Sus scrofa: one gene and its partners. The protein of the gene in region 5 interacts with the protein of the main gene of each other region in a pairwise test. Links are inferred from orthologs where the notes say so. Each region holds a gene or a part of one and is shown on either strand. Other genes may lie near its edges. The genes, in order: MMAB, FAM161A, DZIP1L, SYCE1 and SPERT.

Evidence for each region.
Region 1: the proteins of SPERT (region 5) and MMAB interact in binary tests that used the Homo sapiens proteins (3 or more experiments, as listed by UniProt). The two-hybrid records come from large-scale screens. The link is inferred for Sus scrofa from reciprocal best matches to the Homo sapiens genes CBY2 and MMAB.
Region 2: the proteins of SPERT (region 5) and FAM161A interact in binary tests that used the Homo sapiens proteins (3 or more experiments, as listed by UniProt). The two-hybrid records come from large-scale screens. The link is inferred for Sus scrofa from reciprocal best matches to the Homo sapiens genes CBY2 and FAM161A.
Region 3: the proteins of SPERT (region 5) and DZIP1L interact in binary tests that used the Homo sapiens proteins (3 or more experiments, as listed by UniProt). The two-hybrid records come from large-scale screens. The link is inferred for Sus scrofa from reciprocal best matches to the Homo sapiens genes CBY2 and DZIP1L.
Region 4: the proteins of SPERT (region 5) and SYCE1 interact in binary tests that used the Homo sapiens proteins (3 or more experiments, as listed by UniProt). The two-hybrid records come from large-scale screens. The link is inferred for Sus scrofa from reciprocal best matches to the Homo sapiens genes CBY2 and SYCE1.

The regions. Positions count from the first base shown.
Region 1 is NC_010456.5:41,356,109-41,360,396, reverse strand, and holds the start of MMAB (cob(I)yrinic acid a,c-diamide adenosyltransferase, mitochondrial), read right to left. Parts: upstream 2,811-4,288; 5' UTR 2,744-2,810; coding exon 2,628-2,743; intron 1,412-2,627; coding exon 1,350-1,411; intron 1-1,349. UniProt on the Homo sapiens protein: Converts cob(I)alamin to adenosylcobalamin (adenosylcob(III)alamin), a coenzyme for methylmalonyl-CoA mutase, therefore participates in the final step of the vitamin B12 conversion.
Region 2 is NC_010445.4:79,959,051-79,962,840, forward strand, and holds part of FAM161A (protein FAM161A), read left to right. Parts: intron 1-1,318; exon of another isoform or gene 1,319-2,400; intron 2,401-3,369; coding exon 3,370-3,596; intron 3,597-3,790. UniProt on the Homo sapiens protein: Involved in ciliogenesis.
Region 3 is NC_010455.5:78,913,717-78,918,263, reverse strand, and holds the start of DZIP1L (zinc finger protein DZIP1L), read left to right. Parts: upstream 1-1,631; 5' UTR 1,632-2,194; intron 2,195-4,506; exon of another isoform or gene 4,507-4,547. UniProt on the Homo sapiens protein: Involved in primary cilium formation. Probably acts as a transition zone protein required for localization of PKD1/PC1 and PKD2/PC2 to the ciliary membrane.
Region 4 is NC_010456.5:141,731,115-141,734,904, reverse strand, and holds part of SYCE1 (synaptonemal complex central element protein 1), read left to right. Parts: intron 1-2,729; coding exon 2,730-2,792; intron 2,793-3,420; coding exon 3,421-3,480; intron 3,481-3,790. UniProt on the Homo sapiens protein: Major component of the transverse central element of synaptonemal complexes (SCS), formed between homologous chromosomes during meiotic prophase. Requires SYCP1 in order to be incorporated into the central element.
Region 5 is NC_010453.5:21,617,890-21,622,251, reverse strand, and holds the start of SPERT (spermatid-associated protein), read left to right. Parts: upstream 1-1,549; 5' UTR 1,550-1,583; coding exon 1,584-1,637; intron 1,638-4,362.

The DNA of each region.
Region 1 (4,288 bases), on a different chromosome or scaffold from region 5:
CACAACAACGCCGGATCTTTAACCCACTGAGCGAAGCTAGGGATCGAACCCAAAACCTCATGGTTCCTAGTCGGATTTATTTCTGCTGCGCCACGAAGGGAACTCCCTCAGCACAATTTTAAACTTTAGAAAATAGTATCATACTGATAGGTTCTTCTGGATCCTTTTTCTGTAAAACATAAGTTGTAGAGTTTTTTAATCTTCATTTTTTAAAATTTACTTTTACTTTTTATTATTATAGTTGATTTCCAATGTTGTGCCAATTTCTGCTGTACAGCAAAGAGACTCAGTCATGCAAATATATGTTCTTTTTTTTTTTTTTTTTTTTTTTTTTTTTTTTTTTTAGGGCCACACTCACAGCATATAGAGGTTCCCAGGCTAGGGGTCCAACCACAGCAACACAGGATCCAAGCTGTGTCTGCGACCTACACCACAGCTCATGGCAACACCAGATCCTTAAACCACTGAGGAAGGCCAGGAATGGTTCCTAGTTGGATTTGTTTCTGCTGCACCATGATGGTAACTCCCAAATATATATTCTCTCTCTCGTTTTTTTTTTTTTTTTTTTTAAGGCTCCACCTACGGCATATGGAAATTCCTGGGTCAGGGGTCCAATTAGAGCTGTAGCTGCCGGCCTATGCTACAGCCACAGCAACGCTGGATCCAAGCAATATCTGTGACCTATGCTGTAGTCTGTGGCAATGCCAGCTCCTTAAGCCACTGAGTGGGTCCAGGGATCAAACCCACATCCTCAAGGATACTATGTCAGGTTCTTAACCCTCTGAGCCACAACAGGAACGCCTATATCCTTTTTTTTATATATTATTTTCCATCATGGTCTATCCCAGGAGATTGGATATAGTTCCCTGTGGTATACAGTAGGAATTTATTTTTTTTTTTAGTATAATAACTATGTTTTTTCCATTTTAGGAAGTATAGTTGATTTACAATGTTGTGCCAATTGTTCTGGCATTTTAAAAATTATCAAAGTAATATGTGCTCACTATAAAAATAATGGAATACAGTAAAAATATGTATAGGAAACAACGAAAGCCTATCTATTCATTCCCCTCTCCCATAATTCAAGATCTCTCTCAGGTCCAAGGTGTAACTATATAATGTTCTTGGCATTTCTGAAAATATAAAGACACACACACTTGTATCCAATGGATTCCAATTTGAACTGCTCTGCAACTCACGTTTATCACTTAATATATCTTGGGCCCTTTCATGTCACATCACATTTTGATCTGTCACATACTTTGCAGTGTCTGCAAAGAAGGCAGAAGAACTTTAAAATGGAAGAATCTTCCATCTCTCTCTGTATTTTTCGCCTGTCCCCACCCTACCTTTGTCTCCTGTCTTGGTGTAGATCTTGGGGATTTTGGGCGTCTTTGAGGAAGGCTGTGGCCTAAGGAGAAACAGACAGCAAGAGGTGGTGAGTGGATGTAAATCAACTATAATGGAAAAAATAAAAATCTTTAAAAAAAGAGGTGGTGAGTGGGGATGGCCTACACCATGGGGCACCTCCATCAGTGGGTCACAGTTTGCTATCTGAACTCAATGGCAGCACTTATCTGCCTCTGCTTGGATCTCCTGTTATCTTTCCCCTCTGCTGCTCTTATTTTTAAGCTCTTTGTGGGCAAGCTCTGAATCTTGCCCACATCCATAGCTTCCCAGTAGCTGAAGTAGTGTAGCGCTCAATAAATACAGGCTGAAAGAATTTATCAATCATTTTCTGTAGTCTCTGTTCTGTGATAGGTAAATTAATGACACTATCACCTAGAATTATCTCTGGAAGCTTCCCAAGCCCTCAAGGGAGGCACTACCCATGACCTTCATTTTAATGAGGAATCTCTAGCTCACGAATGAGACTCACCTTCCCAGGTCATCCAGGGAGGAAGGAATCAAGCTGGGATTCTTGCCCATGACTACCTTACTCCACATTCCAAACAGTTACCTCTGTTCTACTCAAAACTTTGACCATCTACTCCACTAAGCCAGGGACTCTTGGAGTGAAAAAACCCTGGGCTATTTGCATACTGTGAAGCTCCCAAGTGCACTCCGAAATGAAGAACTGCCAAAACAGGGTTCAAAAACTGGCATTTTCAAATAGCAACATAACACTTTTAATACACACTTCAGCATTAAAAAGTGACATTAAAAGGTTATTCAAATGTTCAATTACGGATCTATTAAATATATTAATCCATTAAGTCAGGTTCTGAGGTCTGGGAATAGGGTGCAGATTTCAAGATATATGACAGCCACCTTTAGATTGTGTTGGTGTATCTCTGTGTCTTAAAGTATAAACTAAGTTGGAGATAGGTCAAAATCTGAATTGCGGCCCCTCCTGATTGTAAGGCCAGTCAAGATGACCCTCTTGGCCCACAGAGGATACATCCTGTCCTGATGAATGCTAGACTTCGTTTGGACTTGTCTTGTGCCAAGACACCTTGATTTCCAGCTTCCACAGAGCCTGTGTTGCCATGTGACGTCAGGGCTACAGAGCACGTCACCTGGGATAACTGCGGCGACGCCCCAGGGGTATGACGTAACCAGGGCGACGAAAACACAATTCACTGCAGGTACCCGAGTTATGCCTACCGTCCCAGGCAGGCACTCACCTCTCCCCGTCTTCCACGCCTTGGGGGCCACGGCTCTGAAAACGGAGACACAGTAGCCTGCGGGCACCAAGGCACCCACGCAGGCCAAGGCGACCTCCCGGGCCCCATATAGCCATGAGCCAGGCTTCTGATTGAGGGCTGACCCTGACAGGCTCCCGTCCAGGTTCCTGGATGACACCACCTACCGCCGGCCGCGCCACCACTCAGCCGCCGTCTTCCATTGGTCCGTGGCTCTCGCCCCAGGGCGGGACACTCCCAGGGATTTGTTTCCATTGGTTCACACAGGAGAGGGGCGGGGAAATCCACGAGGACTTGGCTAGCAACGTCTATTGGCTACTACTCAAGCCAATTGGTAAAAAGAGACTCCCGGCCCGCGCGCTCTGATTGGCTGGGCGGATGGGCTCGGCCACCACCCCATGGCGCTTCAGAGCTCGCGGGTTGAGTCCGGGAGCTGTTCGGGATCTGGAGCCGAGAGCCTGCAGTCGCAGGTGAGAAATCGGAGTCGTGGTCCCTGGTGGGGCCAAGTCCGAGGCTGAGACCTAGGACGACCCCGGCTGGGCTCTTGGCTTCTCTGGCTCAGTTTCCCCAATTCTGAGCATCCGTCCTGAGTGGCCCACGACCTCGAATCTGGCAGACGGGATTTTGATTTTTGGGCAAGCAACAGGTTTCCCGGCTCCGAGCCTGAGTTTCCCCTCCCCTTCTAAGAAACGGTACTTAGCTCATACTGCGGTTCAGGCCTCGTTCTATTGAGGTGATATACGGAAAGCCTTAAATAGATGGTAATTTTATACGGTTTACAAAAATCTTAAATGCACACAACGTGCACCTAGCAAGTTACTTTCTAGCAGTCTGTCTTGTAGAGATTCTCGCTTAAATGTCACCAAAAAAAAAAAAAAAAAAAAAAAGGAGGGGGTTGTAAGAGCTGTTTTCTGTGGCCTATTTTTAATTATGAAATGTTAGTAACAGCCTAAATGTCCAGGAAAGAGTTCTTTCTGGTCCATGATTTCATTTACATTTCTACCTTTATGGAGTTCCTTCTGTGGATCAGTGGGTTAAGAAGCTGCCTGCAGTGGCCTGGGTGCACCTGCAGCTCTGATTCAGTCCCTGGCCGGGGAACTTCCACATGCTAAGAGTGCAGACATTTTTTAAAAAATTGTAGTAATAATAAAATTGCAACCAAGAACCAAGCCAGTAATAAGTAGCTGTCAGCAATTGAGTGATTATGATGTACCAGACATTGCTGTTTCCCTTCCATTATTAACCTTCTCAAAATCCATCGAGTTAAGTTCACTTATTGCTCCATGCAGCTTTTTGTGTCTGTGTGTGTGTCTTTTTTTTAGGGCCGCCCCTGCGGCATATGGAAGTTCCTAGGCTAGGGGTCGAATTGGAACTGTAGCTGCTGGCCTACACCACAGCCACAGCAACACCAGAACAAAGCTGCATCTGTGACCTACACCACAGCTCCCGGCAACACCAAATCCATAACCCACCAAGTGAGGCCAGGGATTGAACCCCTGTCCTCATGGATAGTAGTTGGGTTTGTTACCATTGAGCCAAGAGGAGAACTCCTCATGTGGCTTTTGAGGAGACTGAGGTCCATAGCCATTTGAGTGAGTTAACTAAGATGATATCACTGGGGATGGAAGAGCTAGATTGGAACC
Region 2 (3,790 bases), on a different chromosome or scaffold from region 5:
ATCAAACCCGCAACCTCATGGTTCCTAGTAGGATTCGTTAACCACTGCGCCATGACGGGAACTCCCAAGGCTTTTTTAAAAAAGGATGTTCTAAAAGAACAAAGGGAAGAGCACATGGATACTTTTGTCCAAAAACTGTTTTTTGTCTTTTTAGGGCCATACCTATAGCATACGGCAGTTCCCAGGCTAGGGGTCAAATTGGAGCTTTAGCTGCTGGAGTACACAACAGCAATGCCAGATCTGAGCTTTGTCTGCTACCTACACCACAGCCCATGTCAACGCCAGATCCTTAACCCACTGAGCAAGGCCAGGGATTGAACCCACATCCTCATGAATGCTAGTCAGATTCATTTCTGCTGAGCTATGATGGAAACTCCTAAAAACAGTTCCTTGTAGTATCCACCTATTTAAAGATGGATTTTGAAAAATAGTTCCTTTCTTAATGCTCAGTGGAATGTAGCTCTTTTTTTTTTTTTTTTTTTGGTCCTTTTTTTTGGCAGGGGCCGCACCCACGGCATATGGAAGTTCCCAGGCTAGGGGTCAAATCAGAGCCGCAGCTGCTGGCCTATACCACAGCTCACGGCAATGCCAGATCCTTAACCCACTAAGCAAGGCTAGAGTTTGAACCTGTGTCCTCATGGATGCTAGTCAGATTTGTTTCCACTGAGCCACAACGGGAACTCTGAATATAGCTCTTTAGAGCAGCCAATATGTCTTTGACTGCTTCAGTCCTTTGTGAGAGAATGTCTTTCCTTGGTGTTTTTTAAGCTGGACATTCATTCATCCAACAAAAATTTATTGAGTGTCTGCCACTGGCCAGGCACTTTTCCAGTCATTGGGGACACAACTGTGAACAAAGCTGACAAATACTTGTTTTTGTGAGACTTACTTTTTGGTAGGGGGCAGGCATATGATACACAAATAAGCAGAGATATGTAGCATGTCAGTCGGGGGTGAGAGAAATAAAGCAGAAGATGGAGGCTGACAATGAGTCAAGAGGGGGAGGTTGTAATTTTGAGTAGAATGTCAGTGAAGACCTTGCTTGGAAGCTGACATTTGAGTAAAGATCTGAAGGAGTGAGCAGACTTTCCCCTAGTCAGAATGAGGTATTTCTTCTGTGAGTTCTCATGGTGTCTGAAATTGTCATGTGTGGTCACTCATCTGTCTCCTTGCTCAGCAGGGAGCTGCTCGTGGGCAGGAAGCAGTTGTGCTGTCTCATTTTGAGTCTGCTATCGATTATTTATCTACATGTTCTCTCCTAAACTACCTGGAAGCTTCTCAAAGGTGCAGTTTTTATCTGATGTGTATCTTTCAGCAGCTAGCTGAATGCCGTGTGTCCCTCAAAACTGAGTGAGGAAATTAATAGAACACTCATTCCCACAGCCAAGAAGGCTATGGTGAAGAGCAACTGCAGAAACAGCATCAGGTAGCAGACAATTCTCTTAATTGAGTTGTATGACTCTTAAAGCAATTCTCCAATTTATTTGGTAATACATTTCTGCACACTAGTTCTACTAAAAACTTGTTTTCCTGCGTTCGTTTTCTCTAAGTTGTCCCAAGTGATACGACCCTGGCCTCCTGTACTGTTTTTAGCCCATTAAAAAGTTATATCTATAAATATGACTGACTCCTGAATTTTCCTGTTGGGAGACACCCCTCAGATTTATTTTCTAGAGTTTCATCAGACTGAACCTATACTTTTCTATGGCAAATATGCCTTTTTCATTTTGAGTATCCTTCAGGCACTAGGCTAATTTAAAACCATGGTCAGCAGCCTTTTATGCATATAAGTAATTTCAATTGTTTCCCACATGAAAAAATATTAAAATTTTTGTATTTGTATAGAATGTGGGGTTTTACCTCTTTAGTTGTTTGAGCTAAAAGAACTTTGAAAGGTTTGTGAGAGGAAAGAGGGGAAAAGATCAGTCGTACCCTTGCAGGCATGTAAATAGAATAGCCCCCCTCTGCTTTCTTGTTCTCTTATCTACCCCACAGTCCCTGTCATCCATGGCAGCTACTGTTTTTGTAGCCCGGGGGAGTGGCTGTTCTGGAAGTCCCTCCCACCCCTTCCCACACCCTCCTCCTCCCTCCCGAGGTATCCCCCAGTATCCAGGAGGGCATCTTCCTGGCTCCTTGATAAGTCCCTGAGCACTCTGTTCCCTCCATTCCCTGTGCCACTGTCCTCTCTTCCCTGGCACACCCTGGGGCCCGCGCAGCAGGAGCCCAGCTGGGGGAGGTTGCTCGGTTTGCAGCAGGAGAAACTGTGTTCCCCTTCATCTCAGGTAAACCTACACTCAGAAGGAGCCTCTATGAAGGGTGGGTTGGGAGTTCCCGCTGTGGCACAGAGGGATCAGAGGCATCTCTGCAGCACTGGGATGGATCCCTGGTTGGCACAGAGAGGTAAGGATCTGGTCTCACTGCAGCCGTGGAATGGTGGCTTATATCTGATTCCTGGCCCCAGAACTTCCATATGCCTTGGGGTGGTCAAGAAAGAAAAGAGAAAGAGGAGTTCCCGTCGTGGCACAGTGGTTAACAAATCCAACTAGGAACCATGAGGTTTCGGGTTCGATCCCTGGCCTTGCTCAGTGGGTTAAGGATCTGGCATTGCCGTGAGCTGTGGTGTAGGTTGCAGAAGCAGCTCGGATCCCGCGTTGCTGTGGCTCTGGCGTAGGCCAGCGGCTACAGCTCCGATTCGATGCCTATCCTGGGAACCTCCATATGCCACAGGAGCAGCCCTAGAAAAGGCAAAATGACCAAAAAAAAAAAAAAAAAAAAAAAAAGAGAAAGAAAGAAAAAGATTTAGTTTTATACTTTCACAGTGTATGGGTTAGTACATGATCTGGGAATCTAACCATCCTTTATAAAATAAATGAAATAGCATTTATTTTTGGGCAACTTGGTATCTCTCATTCTGAATAAAATGTCATTAAGAGAAAATGTATCTAGCTACAAGTAGCTTATAATCCATTATGTACAGAGTCCACATGTAACATATAACCTGATTAAGGGGACTTTTAAAATTTAAAACAGCCTTGGGGGAGTTCCTGTTGTGGCTCAGTGGGTAACGAACCCAACTAGTATCCAGGAGGATGTGGGTTCCATCCTTGGCCTTGCTCATTGGGTTAAAGATCTGATGTTGCCTTGAGCCATGGTATAGGCTGCAGATAAAGCTCAGATCCTTCATTGCTGTCACTGTGGCATAGGCCAGCAGCTACAGCTCTGATTTGACCCCTTGCCTGGGAACTTTCATATGCTGCAGGTGCAGCCCTAAAAAAAAATAAAAATAAAAAAGCAGCATTGGGAATCAGTGTCAGCTTAATTTGGTTTTCAATTCCAGACATCATATAACATTTTTTTTCCTCCTACCAGGCTGATTTTAACACCGACGTTTCTGGGGTGAGTGAACAAAAACAGGATTTTGTGAACTTTTCTGATATTTACTACTCTAATGAAGAGTATTTCAGGAAACTAGAAGAGCTGAAGGCTGCCCACATGGAAACTATGGCCAAGTTAGAGAAAATGTACCAGAATAAACTAAATTTAAAGGAAGTTCAGCCAGTGGTCACCAGGGAAGAAGCTGCTAGTGTCTCTTCTAAGTAAGTTTGTACATAATGTTATTTGTGGAATGTAAAATAAAATGTGTACCTAAAAGTGCAGAACAAAATTATTTCAGAATATTTTCTCACAAATATTCCCCACATCCCCACTCCCCCTTTCTTGGCTTCTCAGCAGCATATGTAGTTCCTGGGCCAGGGGACAGATCCAGGCTGCAGTTTTGACCTAAGCTGCA
Region 3 (4,547 bases), on a different chromosome or scaffold from region 5:
AAGGAGTTCCCGTCGTGTCTCAGCAGTTAACGAACCCGGCTAGTATCCATGAGGATGTAGGTTCGATCCCTGGCTTCAATCAGTGGGTTAAGGATCCGGCATTGCCATGAGCTGTGGTGTAGGTGGAAGACATGGCTCAGATCCTGCGTTTCTGTGGCTGTGGTGTAGGCCCACAGCTGAAGCTCCGATTCAATCCCTGGCCTGGGAACCTACATATGCCGCAGGTGCAGCCCTCAAAAAAAAATTTTTTTTTGGTAATATATACATACCATACATTTACACTTTTAACCATTTTCAAGTGTATTGCTCAGTGGTATTAAGGACATTCACACTGCTGTGCAACAAGCAGTGCTATCCATCTTTAGAAATTTTATATCATCCCAAACTGAAACTCTGTACCCATTAGGCGATAACTTCCTATTCCCTCCTCCCTCCATCCCTGGCAGCCATCATTCTACTTTCAGTCTCTATGAGCTTGACTATTCTAGGTACCTTGTGTAAGTAGAATTATATGTGTCTCTTTGTGTCTGACTAATTTCACTTAGAAGAATGTTTTCAAGGTTCATTCATGTTGAAGCATGTATCAGATTTCATTCCTTTTAAGGCTGATATATATACATATACATATATACACACACACACACACACACACACACACACATATATATATATAATGTTGTGTATGTCTATACACACACACGCACACATACATATAACATTTTTTTGTCCATTCATCTGTTGATGGACATTGGGTTATTCCCACCTTCTGGCTATTGTGAATAATGCTGCTATAAACATGGGTGTACAGATATCTGTTTGAGTTTCTGCGTGTAATCCTTTTGTGTGTATACTCAGAAGTGCAAGTGCTGGATCATACAGTAATTCCATGTTTAATTTTTTGAGGAACCACCATTCTCTTTTCCCATGGTGGTTGTACCATTTTACATTCTCACAGTAGTGCATAGGTAATCCAGTTTCTCCACATTCTTGCCAACATTTGCTCCCATGCAATTTTGCTTGGAATGCCTAATGACACAACTTGGCAGACTGAGGCCGGAGTGGGAGGAAGGCTCAAAAAAATAAAAAAATGGAGTTAGAAATCCGAGTTTCAGTAAAGCAACAGATGGCTATGGGAAGAGGTCAGAGACTGTTTTCAAGAGAGAAATAATTCTTTAGTTCTGGGTTTCCCAGCTGTATCCACAGGAGGTTGGGGGTTGGGGGGAAGGTGGTTGCCATCTGACCAGATCTGGGACTCTCTTAAAGGAGGAGCATGGGTCTGGGTCAGACACCAAGAAGGTCCCTTTAGTTTACTTTAGTTGCTTAATTCAGTTCAGTTCAGTTTAGTTTAGATTGGCAGGCCTGTCGGCCCGGGGGGAGGGGGTGGGTGGTTAAAGCTGCCCAGGGGCTCTCAGCAGGCCAGCGGCTGTACTGGGTGAATGGGTGGGGGGCTGTGTGCGTGAGTGTCTGGGGTGGGGGACGGAGGACGTCCCGGCCTTTCATCAAGGTCTGGGAGCCACTCATTAGGTTCCTGGATTTTCCTGACAGATTAAACGTGGCATTCTCTCCTTCCCGCTTCCCTAACGGACCTAAAAATAGCTTGTCCCGGGGGGGGGGGGGGGGGGGTGTTTGCGGAGAAGCTCCGCCCCTCCAGCAGCTGTCGCGGGAGCTGGAGGCATCAGAGACCCCAAGCCTTCTTGGGCCGGCGCCCAGAGGTTTTCTGTGCCCCCAGCCCCGCAGGTCAGCAGCACTGGGTGGCGAGGCGGCTCTGTCCCGCGCCCGGGAGAGGCCGGGCTAGCCGGGGCTTAGGAAGCATCCCAGGCCCGCGCGGCGGCGCTGATTCCTGGAAGCACGTCGGTCGGAGGCGGTGGAGCGAGCCCGGAGGCTAAGCCGGGCGGAGGAGCGGAGTCACGCGCTCGGGACCATTGCTCGCTCCCTCGGCTCAGAGGACCCCCCCAGCTGAGCTGGGCCGCGTAGGGAAACTATGCCAGGAATTCGGCCCGGAACCGGCAGGGGTGGGGAGCGTGGTGCAGTCCGAGTGACCCGACCCGCGGGCCTCAGGACGTTAAACAGCCGCGGCTCCCTAGTCCTGCGGGGTGAGGTGCGGGAGCTTCGGACTCTACGCCTCAGCTTCGCCTCTTGAGCCTGGCGTCCCCACCCTGGCTGCTTGGCCTGATAGGGACAGAGGTACCCGGAGGTGAGCAGGGCAGGGCTTCGCTGGGAGGATGACCTTGGATTTTCACTTTTTGAAAAAAGTAAAATGATTGGGGTGGGGTTAGAGGTTTGCTGCTTTGCGTTCTGTAGGTAAAGGGAGACCTTTGACTAACGAGTTCATTTAAAAACAGTTTAGCACCTCTGGTTCCTCTGCCTTGCACTCCGAGGCTGGGGTTTAGCAGGAGGCAGCGATCATATTTTTATTTTGAGGTGGCTGCAGATAAAAGTCCATGGGACACTTATTTAGTACAGGACTAGGGTCCAGAAGGGAGCTCAGAAGAGGGGTCGAGGAGGCCTGGGCAGGGGCCACCGTTCACCCAGCACTACTTAGGGCCCAGGGCTTGCCCGTCCCAGCAGTTTCTTGAAATGTGGTTTCTAACAGGACTTTGAAGGGAGGCTTTGTGAGTGTGAGGTGCTCAGACTGTGGCCTGCAGATAGGGTGGGTGGTTCCTCTCCTTTGTCACAGTCCCTCACATCTCACCCTGGAGCAGAGGACTGGCCAGTGAGAACAGCCTCACTTAGAGAAGGCAGATTCTCCAGTCAAGTGGCTGATGAGCCATCTTCTGTCTCTGTCAGCATCAATGCTCTGGAGACCTCTGTCTGTGGTAGAAATCTTTGTGGATGCCATCCAACTTGATAGAATGGTCTTGTGAAGTTATATGCCTCGGGTTGGGAACAGAAACCTGAATTCATTTGCACAGCATAAGTGGGTTCTGCCAGGAAGCTGGAACTTATTTGGTCAAAAGGCTTGTCGCTCAGCTGAAACTGACAGGAGCAGGGAAGGGGACAACTTGGTGCACTGTTCTGGACCTCCTTGTGGGCCCCTTGCAGGGAGGGCCAGCCCTGGTCAGCAGGGTTATCCACCTGCAATACCACCTGTCACTGGGCCTTATACCTCTAGGGAGGATTTTGAGGGTCTGATGGCCCAGGCTCTGAAGTTGGAGAAGCTCTGCCAAGAAGCAATGACTTCTCTATGGGAAAGAAAACAATAGTATGTTTTCAGTTGTCATTCTTTTATTTTTGTTTTGTTTTGCTTTATTTTATTTTATTTTGTTTTATCTTACTTTATTTTATTTTTTATTTTATTTTTTGTCTTTTTACCTTTTCTAGGGCCACTCCCTCGGCATATGGAGGTTCCCAGGCTAGGGGTCGAATCGGAGCTGTAGCTGCTGGCCTATGCCAGAGCCACAGCAACACGGGATCCGAGCCGCATCTGTGACCTATACCACAGCTCATGACAACGCTGGATCCTTAACCCACCAAGCAAGGCCAGGGATCAAACCCGCAACCTCAAGGTTTCTAGTCGGATTTGTTAACCACTGAGCCTCGACGGGAACTCCTGTCATTCTTTTATTTTTGCCTTTTTTTTTTTTTTTTTTTTTTTTTTTGGTCTTTTTGGGGCCACGCCTGCAGCATATGGAGATTCCCAGGCTAAGGGTCAAATTTGAGTTGTAGCTGTCGGCCTACGCTACAGCCACAGCAAAGAGGGATCTGAGCTGTGTCTGCGACCCACACTGCAGCTCATGACAACACTGGATCCTTAACCCACTTATAGAGGCCAGGGATCGAATCTGCATTCTCATGGATCCTAGTTGGGTTCATTAATCGCAGAGCCACAATGGGAACTCCTCAAATGCTGTTCTTTTAGATGTGAAAATTAGTGTTTGTTTTTGACAGTTTTGATCTGGGAAGATTGATCTTATCAGTATGAAGTCCTTTCCCTCTAAAATACTTTGAAGACATGTCAGTCAAATCCCCATCTTTGATTTTTAAAGATAATTCTTCTGTGGCAAAAACTTAAAATAGGCTTTCGACCGAACAAGGACGTTGTCTTTTTATCTATTTCTTTCTTTCTTCTTTTTAGGGCCTCACCTGTGGCATATGGAAGTTCCCGGGCTAGGGGCCTATACCACAGCCATAGCAATGCCAGATCTGAGCCATGTCTGCAACTTACACCGCAGCTCCCAGCAACGTTGGATCCTTAGCCCACTGAGCGAGACCCTCATCCTTGTGGATGCTAGTTGAGTTCTTAACCTGCTGAGCCATGATGAGAACTCTGGCATTGTCTTTTAAAAATATTTCCTCTCATTTCCCATGGTGGCTCGGTGGTTAACGAACCCGAGTCGTATCCAGGACGACTCGGGTTCCATCCCTGGCCTTGCTCAGTGGGTTAAGGATCCCGCCTTGCTGTGAGCTGTGGTATAGGTTGCAGATGAGGATGGGATCCTGCACTGCTGTGGCTGTGTGCACTGCTGTGGCAGCTATAGCCCCTAGCCCAGGAACCTCCATATGCCGAAGGTGTGGCCCTAAAAAGACAAAAAATAAAAAATAAAAAT
Region 4 (3,790 bases), on a different chromosome or scaffold from region 5:
AACTCTCAGCTAAGGACAAAGAAAAACAGGGCAGATGCATATAGTTCCCTTTTCTTAAGCACCTACCGTGGCCACCACTGTACTAAAGAAACCTCTTAGTATTGCTCTTCCAAATTTCTCAAATAAGACAACATATTTAGATGAATGTTTAATCAGTTTCACCAGTGTCTTATAACTGGTGAAATACCATATCCCATGTGGCTTAGAAACTTAGGAATTTTACAACTTCACTCTTTCCTGGAGGATCACACAAAACATATAGATGCATGGACTACGTAGTCACTGGAGCCTAGATGGCGGTAGGAAAACATGGGGAGGGAACAGCTAAATCCCGAGGTATTTCTACTGGGAAATACCTGTAGAGTGGATTTCTGAAATGAGGAAGAAATGGAATTAAAATTAAGGTAACTATGTCAACTTTTAAATTATTAGATGTATTTACACTGATACAGCATGATTTTCAAAAAGGATATTTTTATGAGAGAAAAGCAAGAAAAATTATAATTATAGCACTATGTAGGTTGCACAGAAAGATGTCTGGAGGCTGCTTTCCTAATTGATGGCTCCAAGGAAGGGACTTGGATTTTGAGGGCAATGCAGAGGTAAAGGAACATTTTTAACCTTAATATTTGTATTTTCTACTAAGAATATGTAATTAATACTAGTGGAAATTTAAAATGTAAAAGTAGGGGACATTTTTAAAATGCCATTTGAGGATTGTATGTTAATATCTATCACTGTTGTTCTCTCAGTTTTAATTGTTATACTGAGGTTATTACTATATAGGAGAGTGTCCCTGTACTTTAGAACTTCACAACAGAATATTCGGGGTAATGAAGCATTGTATCTGCAACTCATTCTCAAGGTTCAGAAAGAGTAGCAAATGGAAGATTTGGGATGAAGGGCATAAAGGAGCTGTATGTCCTATTCTTAAACTTTATTATGGAAAAATTTAGGCATATGCAAGAATGCACAGGCACATGAAAAGATGCTGAACATTGCTAATATAGAAAGAGAAAACTACAATGAGGTATCACCTCACACTAGTAAGAATGTCTATCATAGTCTACAAATAAATGCTGGAGAGGGTGTGGAAAAAAGGAACCCTTCTACACTGTTGGTGGGAATATAAATTGGTGCAGTCACTATGGAGAACAGTAGAGAGGTTCCTTAAAAAACTATAAATATGGTTACCATATGATCCAACAGTCCCACTCCTAGGCATGTATCTGGAAAAAAATAAAACTAATTTGAAATGGTATATGCACCCCAGGGTCACAGCAGTACTTTTTACAGTAGCCAAGACATGGAAGCAACCTAAATGTCCATGGACAGATAACTGGATAAAGAAGAGGTGGTGCATATATATACATGACTGAATAATACTCAGCCATAAAAAGAATGAAATAATGGCATTTCCAGCAAAATGGATGGACCTAGAGGTAATCATACTAAATGAAGTAAATCAGACAAAGACAAATATCACCTATGTGTGGAATCTAAAACGATGATACAAATGAACTTATTTACAAACCAGAAATAGACTCACAGACATAGAAAACAAACTTACGGTTACCAAAGGGGAGAGGGGGAATGGAGGGATACATTAGGACTGAGATTAACTGATACACACTACTAAATATAAAACCTAAACAACAAGGACCTGATGTATGGCACAAGGAACTATATGCAATATCTTGTAATCTGTAATGGAAAATAATCTGAAAAAGAATATATATATTCTTCTATAGTGTATTTGATTGAATCAAGATGCAAATATGATCCATTTATCGAGATTGGGTGATAGGTGTCTTTAATCTCTTTTTGTATGTAAGGGTCTTCCTTTCTCCCTCCCCCATAACCCAAAAATGTATTTAAGTTAAACTGGGTTGTTTTTCCTGTGAAGCTCCCCAGTGTGGATGTTGCTAATTGCATCCACAGGAGCCATTTAAAATGATCCTCTGTCCTTGTGTTTCCTTCAAATTGTTATTTAGATAGAGAGGCTTAACATGTTTTAGTGTCATTTTTGACAAGAATCCTATGTTGTATTTTTACATCAAATAGCTCATAATGTCTATCTTTATTTTGATGTTAATAATAATTGCCTAGATCTACCAGTTCATTAGGGAGTTAAAAATAAATGCCTATTTGAGTATAAGCAAGTCAGTACAAAATGGTTTTCTAGGAGGCTCCAGAGTAATGATTGTATGTAGGAAAGCGTTTTGTATTCATATACATTTAAATGAGACATCTTATTAAATTTCCTCACTATTCCTTGTGAGGTATTTTGGTCTTTTTGTGGGGATTTGTTTTGTTTTGTTTTGGTGATATTCTCTTGAACTTTATAGACGATTATGCCATCTGCTGTTTACAGTGACTTCTGACTCCTTGTTTCCAGTTTTTAATATTTTAATACCTTTTTTTCTTTCATTATTACATCCTGCGCTTTGACCAAGCCTTGAACAGTATCTGTAGTAAGCATGCACTCCTTCCCTTGCCCTGAGTTTTAGTAAGTGGAAATCTGTGGTGTCATTTCATCCTTAAGGAAAAGCTGACCATGACCCGATTCATCCCTTGTGCAGTGTCCACTTAAGGTCAAGGAGCAGAAGCACCACTTTGGCTGGAAACCTGCCCTCAACCCACCTCAGTTCCAGCCCAAGGTTGTCAGATCTTCCCTCAGGCTTCTCACACCTATATGATTCTTAAATGTTTGGTTTTTGTCTCCACAGGGCAGGCCAAGTCCTCACAAAAAATAGAAGACTTGATGGAAATGGTGAAGAAGTTGCAGAAAGGTCACGTCTCCTCTGTAACTAAGGCTCAGCCTGAGGTTTGGGTTCAGGCAGAAGTAGAATCAATTCTAAGCCCCCATATTCACAAACTTGGGAAATGAAGTCATTTGCTTTCTCTTACTTTTAAACCTTAATTTTCTGAGTTAAAAATATGACCCATGATTCAAAGTTAAAGTGTAATGCAATAAAATGCAAAACATTGTCCTAACACTCCCCTTACTCACCATCCATTTGGCTCCCACTGCGATTTGCTGAAAACAGTTTTTCACCTTTACCTCCCTTCCCTCCACCTCACATCTGCTCCTCTGTGCTTCCTTACCAGACACCTCCCAGCCATGTTCCTACCTCAAGGCAGGCCTTTGCACTGTCTCACACCCACCCAGCGAACTTCAAGGCCTACCCCACCCTACTTGATTTGGGGCTCTCAAGAGGTCTTGCCATATCTGAAGAAGCGTGTCCTGCTCCTTTACTTTTTAATCCATTACCTATTTCTCTTGACCGCAGTTACCACAATCTGACTTTGTCTCTCTCTGTTCCTGTCTCCCCTACCCAAGATGTAAGCCCTTGGAGGGGCATCCACCTCCCTCTGTCTGTCCTGTCATAGTCACTCAACCTCCTTTTCTCCCTGCAGCGGGAAGCCTAGAGCCCAAGGTTGAGGTCCTGATTAACCGGATTAATGAGGTTCAGCAAGGTGAGCTCAGGACCTTGCCTTGTCAACCAGGATAAGTTATGTGATTTGCAGGACTCAGTGTAAAGTGAAAATGCGGTGCCCCTAGTTCAAAATATACAAAGTGTTTTGAAAGAGCAGAGCATTAAATGAGGCATGGGTTGGTCCATCTAAATACTAACTGCTATAGTCATGTTTATTAACCTGGCCCTGCTGCCACCTGAACCTAACAGGAAGGGCTTAGGCTCCTGGAAGCCCCATTTCCTGCTCTGTAAAGCCTGAGCCCCTTTAGGTTTACTTGAAGACAAATGTGAAATATTTGCAAGGAAAAGAC
Region 5 (4,362 bases):
ACACTGGTATGGCTTTTTACTTGAGATAGAAATAAGAATCTTAGGAGTTTCCATCGTGGCGCAGTGGAAACGAATCCTGACTAGGAACCATGAGGTTGTGGGTTCGATCCCTGGCCTTGCTCAGTGGGTTAAGGATCTGGGGTTGCCGTGAACTGTGGTGTAGATCGCAGATGCAGCTTGGATCTGGTGTTGCTGTGGCTGTGGTGTAGGCTGGTGGCTACAGCTCCAATTGGACCCCTAGTCTGGGAATCTCCATATGCTGTGGGTGCGGCCCTTAAAAAAAAAAAAAGAATCTTAGAAAAGGTGGTAGGTTTAGGCACCTCCACTCCAAAAACTTTCAGAAGGCTTTGCCATCAACTGTAAAATATCTTATCAGATATCACTTTCACATCCTTTCAGACTCAGATTTTCATAAAGTACATTATTAGCAAGAAGGGATAAGTGAGCAGTAGAAAGTCTTGTTTTCTGGGTGAGCATCTGAGGCCCAGAGAAGGGGCCGGGAAGCAGAAATCCATTTATTTTCTCTTTTCCGCAGCACTCGAGGCCAAATTTTACAAGAAAAAGAGATACCAGATGTGAAAGCCTAGAAATTCCAATCAATGTGGTTCTGCCTCAGGTAGGGATAATCACAGAAGGATGCAACCCTTCAGTTAGCCAGAATAACCCTCCCCTTTCAAAACTCTAGCCTGAGGACATGGAGCAGGCAGAGCCAGCAAGGCCTCCGATTCTAGTTGTAGGGCAGCTGCCAAGCCAGCAGTGTGGCTGGGGGAGGGCACTTAAGCCATTCTGAGTCTTGAATGGGGGGTGGGGAGGGAGCTTGTTAGGTGATCTGATAAGATCTTCCGGCCCTACCCCTTGAAATCTCTGTGACACTCTGAAATAAGCCAGTCTCTCCAAAATTAGATCTTTTGGCGTTGGCTGTTCTGCAACTTCTCTGGATTTCTGGCAGGTCCTGGGAGGTGGCTGGCAGACAATGAGATCTGAGACTTGGAATCAAAAACGCAAGACCTGGAGTTCCCATTGCGGCCCAGCACTAACAAACCCAAGTAGTATCCATGAGGACACGGGTTCGATCCCTGGCCTCATCCAGCGGGTTAAAGATCCGTTGTTGCTGTGAGCACTGGTGTGGGTCGCAGAGGAGGCTCGGATCTTATGTTGCTGTGGCTGTGGTGTAGGCCAGCGGCTACAGCTCCAATTCAACCCCTAGCCTGGGAACCTCCATATGCCGCCGGTGTGGCCATACAAAGAAAAACAAACAAACAAAAAACAAAACCAAAAAACATATGACTTGAACCCATGAGGAGACAACCTAGGACTCAGCCCAAGGGGTGCAGGGTCATCTGGGGGTGTCAGGAGAATTAAGACCTGCTTTTTGCCCAAGACAAGAGTATGGGGGGGCGGGGCTTGCAGGATTCCGAATGGAAGCCCGTGAATGGATGACGGGCTGGAGATTCTCAGCTCTCCGCCTGCTAAGCAGCCGTTTCCCTGGAGGGGTTCTCCTGATTGGATTGTTTCCATGGCTATGTCACAAAGGGGGGGCAGCCTTGCTTCTTCAGAGTCACCTAAGGCCCTGCTGGAAGATCATGGCTGTGCAGCCGGAGGGGCTGAAATGTAGGGCGGAGGAATCCAGCGTAGAGGTAGCCACCCAGAGAGCTCTGTCCAGGGCTGTGTAGGAACAGGACTGACTGCCCCTGGGCATCCTGGCCTTTCGGAGGACGTGAGGCACTGCTGCTGCGCACAAGTCCTGTGTCAGGTTCCGGACCCTCAGCAGGATGCTCCAGGCCGGCAGTCCTGGGTGGGGGAAGGGTGCGTCTCTAAGTTTAGATGAGATGTGGGCGCGTTCAGGTCCGGTTTGTTCAGGGTGGTGTGGCTGTAGTCTGTAAGTTTAGATGATCTGAACTGGGCCACCTCTAGGACTGTGAGGGACCAGTGTGCTGACTCGATCTCCCCAGAGGAGATTGTGCATGGCTGGCGGCGGGGCAAGGACCGATCTGCTTAACACGGCGGGGGTTGGGGGGGGAGAGAGGGAGATGCCCTGAGCACTGATGTGTGATGTGATCACGTGGTGGGCATGGGGCCAAGCAGCGTGAGGGAGACTGTGTAGGAATTGAAACCCAGAAGCCCCACTAGTAAGGCAGGGCTGGAGCTGGAGGCTTGAAACCAGGTCAGTGCCTCTTCCTCTGCTGTGCCCCCGGCTGGGCACAGGCCAGCTGCGTCTTCCCTGGCTTTTAGGACATGGTACCTCCCCTCCCCCCCATCTTTACTGCCTACCCCCGAGCTCCCTGCAGGTCTCTGCCACATTCTGCTTCCTTCTGAGACCAAGTCCATTCGTCGCAGCAGGGAACAGCCACAAGCAGCCCTGAGCCCTGCATTGCCAGAAAGCGCCTCTGGCCTCCTGGCTCCCAAACAAGCCGCCAGGCACGCATCTCAGTTACATTGCAGATGCCTATGGCTCACTGTTTGTTATCACCCTGTGGTCTTTTCAGGTCTTATTGATTTTCAGTTTTTCTTCCTCACATTAGGGACTTGTACTTTCTGAGCTCTTTCCCTCCAGCGCGTTAACCATCAGTGCCCAAGCTCTCTGCCCTCCTGGGTCCTTTTGTACATAACAATTCAGTTCGGGCGGAGGGGGGGGGTCGCAGTTCCCCAGTGAGCGCTCTCTGGGAACTTCCTAAAGGCACTGTTTACTGCCAGACCATTGATGCAGGACCTACACCAGGTCAGGATGCATTCTGACAGCGACCCCCTTCCACTCCTGCCGCCCCCCATCCCTCTCTGTTCCCTTGTCCCAGTCCCCTGGGTTTGGGTTTGTTCTTCAGAAGCTATGGACTCTGCCGACCATGCCTGCACCTCTGCCAGTTTGAATAAGCTTTAGGAAGAAGATGTCAGAAGATTCCGTGTTCAACAATTAGCAAAAATGAGCACAGAGGATGGCAGATGACATCTTTATCCTCTTTGCTGTTAATGTTATGATTCTATCAAGATCAATCACATTGACCTGTGAATTATCCTCTTATCTGCTGGCATTTATGAAAACCAACATTGACTTTCTCATGGCACTCGGGAGCAGAGTTAATTTAAAAATATGATAATGAGGCTCAGGCTTATCACCTGGTCTGAAAATTAGTGGCGTGGCTGGTCTTTCCTTCCAGCATCCTGGGGCCTCTCAGCTTCACACGCCTGAAAGGGAACCTCCGGTGGCTGAATGTTCTGTGATTGTAACCCTCAGTGACGCTGCCAAAGCAGGGCTTTAATGGACTTGGTCGGAGTTCCCAGTGTGGTGCAGGGGAAACAAATCTGACTAGGAACCATGAGGTTGTGGGTTCGATCCCTGGCCTTGCTCAGTGGGTTAAGGATCTGGTGCTGCCGTGAGCTGTGGTGTATGTTGTAGATGGCGTTGCTGTAGCTGTGGTGTAGGCCGGCAGCTACAGCTCTGGTTAGACCCCTAGCCTGGGAACCTCCATATGCCACAGGTGCAGGCCTAAGAAGACAAAACAAAAAAAACAAAACACGAGATGCTGGGGAGAAGGACAGGCCTGATGCTAAGGACAGATCCCCAACCACAGGGGGGATTTAGGCATCTGTGCGGGAGATGTTGGTGCCCAGAGCCCTTCCTGGGCCCTCAGCATGAATGCATCCTACTTATGTCACAGCTGGGAGCACATTGCTCTGAGGCCAACCTGTTTGGTTGCCTGGCTAATAAAGCCTTTGGAAAGAACCCCACAGCTATGAGTCTTCCCCTCCTGCATCCTGCATCCTTCTTTGCATCCCCTTCTTCCACGGGGAATCCCACCTTTTCCTCTCCCACCTCCTGGGTCTGCATCCACATGCCAGGGCACTGCCCACAGATCAGGGAGGAGACCAATCCTTTTCTTCATGGGAAACCTGGCCAGGCTGCTCTGGGCGCTGGGATCACTCTGGAACTTTCCGGGTGTTCCAGGAGCTTTTTATGGGCACGAACCCCTTGTTGTGAAATGTGTGGTCCTAATTCCCAGGACTGGGAACGTCAAAAAAACCTAAGGCATGGGTCACTGTCCCTAGAGAATTATATTTTATTCATCCGGGGAGAAGATGGGATGGGACATAGGAGAACCACTGCAAAGTAATGATAGCAACACACATGCATAATAAAATATCTGGACATTGCGAAGCGCTAGAATGAGCATGCAGTTTGGAGTCAGATATCCTGGTTTTAAACCCTTGCTGGCTGTGTGATCTCAGGTAGAAACACAGTAGCTCCTTTCAGTAAGATATTGCCTATAAATATGGAAATCAATTAGCACACCATCACATAGTAGTCATTCAGTAAGTGTTATTCCCTTTTCCTTGTTCCATACAGTATAAGGAAATGATAAGCAACTT